Linked DNA regions of Lonchura striata. The protein of the gene in region 2 interacts with the protein of the main gene of each other region in a pairwise test. Links are inferred from orthologs where the notes say so. Each region holds a gene or a part of one and is shown on either strand. Other genes may lie near its edges.

Evidence for each region.
Region 1: the proteins of SETDB2 (region 2) and ARL14EP interact in binary tests that used the Homo sapiens proteins (3 or more experiments, as listed by UniProt). The two-hybrid records come from large-scale screens. The link is inferred for Lonchura striata from reciprocal best matches to the Homo sapiens genes SETDB2 and ARL14EP.

What each region holds. Positions count from the first base shown.
Region 1 is NC_134608.1:61,357,891-61,361,637, forward strand, and holds the start of ARL14EP (ARL14 effector protein), read right to left. Parts: upstream 2,736-3,747; 5' UTR 2,605-2,735; intron 2,578-2,604; exon of another isoform or gene 2,393-2,577; intron 465-2,392; 5' UTR 385-464; coding exon 1-384.
Region 2 is NC_134604.1:62,438,628-62,442,374, reverse strand, and holds the start of SETDB2 (histone-lysine N-methyltransferase SETDB2), read right to left. Parts: upstream 2,836-3,747; 5' UTR 2,579-2,835; coding exon 2,563-2,578; intron 1,600-2,562; coding exon 1,540-1,599; intron 1-1,539. UniProt on the Homo sapiens protein: Histone methyltransferase involved in left-right axis specification in early development and mitosis. Specifically trimethylates 'Lys-9' of histone H3 (H3K9me3).

The DNA.
Region 1 (3,747 bases), on a different chromosome or scaffold from region 2:
CACATCCACACTTCCATTTATTATCTGCATACATTTGGGACAAAGCTTCCAACCTGGAACAAACTGCCTTCCAAACTTGGCACTTAGAAAAGCTGCATCGTCTAAGTCAATTGCTCGCAAGTTTTTCTTTGATAGTTTTCTGTGGATGTTGAAGGGGTCACAACAGGATTTCTGTAAGTCTTCAAACCGTTCAATGTAAATTTTGGCATGGTGGAGGCAGATTGTGTTGCTCTCTGACAGGGTTATCCCAGTCCTGAGCTGAAGCAGCAGCAGGTCAGATGAAGAGATGTCTTGTTTGGTCTTGAAGCCGGTGTGACGGGTGTAATAGGTCTTATGGCATTCATTGGTGGCTTGGAGCTGAACTCCAACTGAACAAGGATCCATTTTACTTTATCAGAATGTCTCTCATCTGTTTTGCCCAAAATAAATCTTTGAAGCCTTTAGGAGTTTCTGTGAAGATCACCCTAGAGAAAGCATTAAAATCCATCAGATTTGCAATGCAAACTTTTATCCATAAGTCTGACATACTGGATGTAAGTAATTTAAAAAACATGTAAAGAAATTATAGCCTTCTAGTCTAGATAAAGCTAAAAAGATAATAGATTTATTCTGGAATCAAACCATGTATTTTCTATTCCTTTCAGAGGCTTTTTTTTTTTTTTTTTTTGCTAAAATAAGTATCTATTCAAAATGTTTAGTTGCATGACTGTCTCAAAAGCAATCTGGGAGCAAGGTACAAAGTCACACAGCAGCCTGCTCTTGTCATTGGTTTTCCTGGGGACCCCCTCTCCTGGGACAATCCCTGCCAGCCAAGACCTGACTGCCCACAGAAAGGGACTGCTGATGGCCACACATTTTACCCATCCTGTTTCCAAGGAGCTTCTAAAGGGGAAAAAAGCTGCAGAAGGTGGGCTGCACAGGCTGGCTGGAGTCAGTCAGCAATTCCCACCCAGCAGCACTTTCCATGTGTATCAGGTGCAGGCCAACACCCTGGATCAAACCTGAGCCTTTCCAAGAACCAGGCTGGGCTATGCACCAAGATGGGCAGCTCCAGTTGTGTGCATTTTTGGGGTCATGTGGCCTTTGTGTGCAGCCCTCTGTTGGGCAGTTATTTCATAGTTATACACTAACATCAAACCAAATTACCAAATGCCAAGTGAGCTACTGCAGACTGATGTTGGAACCCTGGTTGCTGAGAATTTCAGACTTTCTATACTGGCAGGCACTGGCCCCCAGGAGAACTCTGCATGTGACCTGAGGCTGTGGAGAAACTTCTAAAATTGAATGACAGAACTGGGATTGCGGGTGTGGAGTTTGAATAGTGGTGTAGTTTGAATCACATGGTGAAAAACTCAAGAGTTTAAGGTTTTAGAATAGGGCAGTGGCTGGTCCTTCTCCACGGGTTTGGGTGGTTTTGTGTAATTGGATAAAGCAGTCCACATTGGTTATTGGGTTAAAAGTAACAATAATTTAGATGTCACACTCTGTTTGTTGCTAGCCCAGTGATGGCCCTAACACACCACAGCCTGAGCCCATCTTGCACTATTTTCACCTCAACATAAAAAGAAAGGAGTAATTTGCTCTCAAATCCTCCAAGAACCTTAATTACAATGAGAGTAGCTTAACTGGTAGGTTTATGTTCACCTATACCCTGTTCTGCAAAGGCAAAACGCAGACAAATGGAAAAGCAGGGTACTGGTTGTGTCCGAGAGGGAGTCAAACTATTCACAGTGGCTGGTGTGTGAATGATTTTTAAAATCTTTTTTAAAAGACCACCTATCAAACTTCACCATCTTAGTGAGCCAGCTCTAACGACAATCTTTTTTTGTTAGCTGCACAAAGTTTGTGTTCCAAGCCAAGGTAACTGGAGCCGTAAATGAGCAAAGTTCACTACAGCTGAATTAACATTTTAACAGCATTTAGGCAATACTAAGTAACTTTACTCGAAAAAGTCTGTTACATCACGCCTGCTTCAAGTGCTAAGGTGCATTTTTGACCGATTCCTGTGTGTGAGGTGGGGCTTGTGTGCATGGCTGAAACTCACCACATCAATAGACAAGTGACAGTCTGAATTTTCAAAATTAGCACATGGATTTTAAGTCAGGACTCTTGGACCATGTTCTTATAAGAAACCTAATTTGTCTCCTAGGGGAAAAAAAATCCCCAAATAATTATTACAACGTCAGGTATCTCTTCTACCCGCTGACTATGCTACGTGGTATTCCCTACATTAAACTGCAGAACATCTCACGTCTGTCACCTGGCTTTGTTCAAACGACAGTACTGCTGACGGAACTTAGGGATCGCTTAACGCGCAGCAATTCTCGCTGGCAGCTTCAGCGCGTTCCCTCCGGGCGGCAGGAGCACGCCGCTGCTTTTCCTGCCAGCTCACCGGGGCGGAAGGAGCAAAGCCAGGCCCCGCGGCCCGCAGGTGTGTGCCCCTGCCGACGGCCGCCCGGCGCTGCCGCAGCCCGAGCGCTGAGGGGCCAACAGCGGCGAGGAGGAACGGGCCCCACACGGGCCTTCCAACGCCCGGGCACAGAGCCCGGCCCCTCGGGGCCGCCCCGGTACCTCCCCGCGGGCTGTGTGCCGCCGTGCCGGTACCTCTCCGCGCTGTGTGTGCCGCCGTGTGGGCTCCCGGCCTGCGCCCGGTCCCTGCGCGCCGCCGGCGGGCGGCGGCCATCAGCGGCGGCTGCGCCCCCAGAGAGCGGGGCGGGGGCGGCACTTCCGGCCGGCGGGCGGCACTTCCGGCCGGCGGGCGGCGCTTCCGGCCGGCGGGCGGCGACAGCGGCACCTGGCGGCGCGGAGCCCGGCCTCAGGGGCCCGGTGTTCGCCGGCCTTTCCCAGTGTTCCCCGGCCTTTCCCGGTGTTCGCCGGCCTTTCCCGGTGTTCGCCGGCCTTTCCCGGTGTTCCCCGGCCTTTCCCAGTGTTCCCCGGCCTTTCCCGGTGTTCGCCGGCCTTTCCCGGTGTTCCCCGGCCTTTCCCGGTGTTCCCCGGCCTTTGCCGGTGTTCCCCGGCCTTTGCCGGTGTTCCCCGGCCTTTGCCAGCGCTTCCCGGGGCCGGTGCTGAGCGAACGCGATCGGCGCGGCCGTTGAGCGGAAGGTCGCGGCCTGCTGCAGGCTCCGCCGGCACTGACCGGGCTCGGGGCCGGACCGGGGCTCGGGAGTGCCCTGTGCTGTACCGGGAATGCCCTGTGCTATCCTGGAATGCCCTGTGCTATCCCGGAACGCCCTGTGCTATCCCGGGAATGCCCTGTGCTATCCTGGGATGCCCTGTGCTATCCCGGAACGCCCTGTGCTATCCTGGGATGCCCTGTGCTATCCCGGAATGCCCTGTGCTGTACCGGCAGTGCCCTGTGCTGTACCGGCAGTGCCCTGTGCTATCCCGGGAATGCCCTGTGCTATCCCGGGAGTGTCCTGTGCTATCCCGGGAATGCCCTGTGCTATCCCGGGGGTGTCCTGTGCTGTACCGGGAGTGTCCTGTGCTGTACCGGGAGTGCCCTGTGCTGTACCGGGAGTGCCCTGTGCTGTACCGGGAATGCCCTGTGCTATCCCGGAGTGCCCTGTGCTGTACCGGGAAGCCCTGTGCTCTCCCGGGAATGCTCCGTGCTATCCGGGGAGTGTCCTGTGCTGTACCGGGAATGCCCTGTGCTATCCCGGAGTGCCCTGTGCTGTACCGGGAAGCCCTGTGCTCTCCCGGGAATGCCCTGTGCTATCCCGGGATGCCTTGTGCTGTACCGGGAATCAC
Region 2 (3,747 bases):
GAAAAGGAAATATGTTTCAGTATGTCAAAAGATGATGACAGAAGAAAGAACCAGCTCTTTCTCAGTTAATGTTGCTCTTCTTCAAAGACCAAGCATAAGCAAATCTGTTCTCCTACTCCATTTCTAGAGGTGGAGTCACACTGTCACACAGGTTTTACATTCCACTTTCAGACAGCAAATCTCTGTTGGCAAATGTGCAGGGATGACACCTTCTCAGCAGTCAAGAAATACTACATTCTTATCAGGCTGCATTCTTATATAAAAAAATATTCCTTCATTTTTTAACTTCGTAGAGAATGACTTCTGTTGCCCAGGATACCAGAAGCCCAGTGATGCTATGGCAGTGTGGTTACTCTCAAAAGCCCCATGACAGCAGTGAAAGAAGTGACAATCTTTTGTCACCACAACCCCTGCTGCTCGTGTCACCAGCACCTAAAGGCATAATACTTAATATCAGCAGGCAATGATAAAAGTACTTTTTCTTGTGAAATAGTCTGATTTGGCATTATCTCTTGACAAAATTTAATTATCTATTATATTAACATTATTTTTTTTAAACATGTGGAAAGGTTAAAGTACAATTACAGAAAAAGCAACAACAATTTTTGGAAACCTACAATACTGGTCCAAGAGACACCACCTGCCCTGTGCCATTCACACCGTTTTGCTGTGCATGACATTATTACAACTTTAAAATAACAAAAACTATATTTAATATTTGCATTTAAAACAAAAATTTAAAAATACATTCAATTAAAAATAAACATCTAGAACGTGTAGTAATAAGTTTCTCCATTGCAGATTAAAACTGCTGTCCTTATTCATTACATATTTTCAAATATTTCCATACATTGATTAAATCTGGATAGCACTGGTGGATGGATTACTTTAGAGGATGGGTGACAGAACAGCTTCTTGTTTCTGGGTCCACAGCTATAACAATTTGTAGGCCATAGGGGAATGAAACACTCACCTCGGAAATGACTCCCCAGTTCTCATGCTGTAGTGACCCAAAACTCCAGTAGCAAAAGCTTTGCTTTGCATGGAGAAGCAAAGATTGCATTTGAAGATGACAGTATAATTTTCATTTCAAAAAATGAAATGTCCACACCACTAATCTCTCCAGTGCTAATGCTGCTATCACCAATCACAGCCAGAAGGACAGGGAATGAGCAGCCACCAGATACATCTACCTTGTCATTATTCAGAACCATCTCTCCAGCTGATAGATCAGGGTGTGTACTGGCATCTGGCTGGAGGGATTTTCTTTTCCCTTTATAGAATCATTGTGACCACATATCTCTTTTCTTACCCAGCATTGTGCAGGGGAGTGATGCTAGAGCAAGCAACAAGCAGCCAAGGTCAGGGTTTACTACAGCCACCAAACAACCTGGGTGCGTGTTTCCTGTAGTGCTGCCGACAAACCTCTTACACCATAAAAGGCAAAGCTATTGTCTTCCAATAGTAATTTTCATATCAGAATGACTGCCAAATACACACTCCTTTCCTCTTTAGCTCCATTAATCCAGATTACACTACCTTCAGTGCTCTCCTCCCTGGAACTGTTAAGGTTCTCCTCTTCAAAGGAGTCACACAGCACTGCAAGAGGTACAGAATGGACAAGTAAGAGATCGGGTGAGAAATTAAAATAGTTGTAGCGACTCAGCTTTTCAAAATTTATACACTACAGTGGGTATCAGGAGGAGCACAGTGTGAGAATATGTTGTGTGGAATAGTTATTCCCCTTTCAAACAGTCATCCCACGCCTTGTCAAGATCTAGCTGAGGAACACTCAAACAAGCAATGTGAGGAAATTTTTTTACTTAGGTCATGTCTTACTGTCTTTGAGGCATGAAGCTGTCACAAGATGACCCAAACTTTCCAGCACATTCAGTTGAGCTTACACAACTCCTTTGCCCATTAACCCACAGTTGTTTTTTTGTTGTTGGTTTTTTTTTTTTTTCCTAAATTGATGTGCTCAGTACAGCAATACTATAACTAAATCAATTTATTTAGAGGGAAAAAAGGAAAGCTTTTTTTAGGTAAATAAATTACTGATTCTGTTTGTTGACAAATGCAAGATACCCTTCACTGCAAGAATACTAAGAAGTAAGACAACATTCTTCAACCACATTGAAGATTCCAAATTTTTATCTCCGTGAATCACGGAATCAAATAGGTTGGAAAAGACCTCTGAGATCATCCAGTCCAACCTATGACCGAGCTGTAGGATGCCAACTAGACCATGGCACTGAGTGCTACATTCAGTCTTCCCGTAAACACATGCGGGGACGGTGACTCCACCACCTGCCTGGGCAGCCCATAATGACACAGACAGCGTAAAACATGCCTTATTTACGTTAGCTACTTAATCTTTTCTGTGCCGTAACTGAAAAAAGAAATCAACCCCAAGCCTTGCCATTCATTCTGGGTTCTTCATTTAGTTGAACGGGAAAATAGGTTAAGACAGTTGATTCCTAAAAATGTTTATTGCAAAACAAATGGCTGCCCCAAACACGCATATATATATACGTATATATATATATATTTTTAAAGGCTTACTGCTTTTCTGTTCCATGCTGCGGGGTCGCTGCCCGGAGAGCTGTGCCGCGCCGGGGCGGCGCCGAGCCCGGCTCAGGTCGGGGTCTCGCCGCGCTCCGCCACGGCTGCAGGGCCCGCGCCGAGGGCCGGCGGGCAGGGGCCGGGGCGCCTGTGGGGCTGGGAGGCTGGCATGGGGCGTGCCTGCGGCCAGGGGTCGGGCCCCAGGTCACTCCCGCACCCCTCGGGGCCTCGTCCCGACCCCCGCCGCCTTCTTCTGCTTCTTCCCTCCTCCTCCTCCTCCTCCTCCTCCTCCTCCTCCAACGCTGCACGCGCGCTGCTGGCCGCCAGGGGGCGCAACCCCGCCGGGGAGCGCGGGAGCCTGGATGTGGGCGGTCCCACAAGAGGCGGGGCCGCGCGCACCGCCCGTCTCTCTCTTCCCATTGGTTGCAGCGGCAGGAGGGGCGGTGGCACCGGCCAATGGAGGCGCAGGGAGGGCGGGGCCGCGGGCGGCGGAGAGGCGGCGCTGGCGGGGCGGGGGCACGGCCGAGGGACTGGAGGTGCGTCCGCCATGTTGGAGGGGCGGGCCGGGGGCGGGCTGTCCGGCGTGAGGGGCGCCGGCGCCATCTTGGGCCCGGGAGGAGAGCGGGGAGCGGCCGGGTGGGCCCGCTGGTCGGGGCGGGCTGCGCTCTGCTCATTAATGTGTCGTAAATTAAAGCGTTTGGTACGTGCGCCAGTTGCGTAACCTCCTTGCTGGTCTCTGCTCTTCTTCCTTGCTGGCTGCGCTGCTGCCGTAGGAAGCGTTGAATTGTTGCTGCCCTTTTCGAAATGTGAAAATAAAGTTTTATATCTCTCTTTGAAATTTTCAGCTGCGTTGCCTTTGCGAGTGTTGGTGTTGTGGCTACGTAAAGATGTTTTTCACAGGGGCAAAAATATAACCTACTCTTAAAAAGCGGGGAGGGTGCTTTTTTGCTTTTTTGTCGCTTCTTTTTTGCCACCACTTTAAAACGGTAGAGATCAACATAATGTGCTTAAATAATTGGGAAGATATTTCCAATCTTGTAGATATTGCCAATTTTGTCGCGGGGGGTAGAAATGTGATTATTCTGGGGATGGGAATGCTGTGTTTACATGACTTAGAGCTCTCATCTGACCCAAGGTCCTGCGGAAGATTTTGATGTCTAGCATCTGCTTTGTACTTCTATAAAA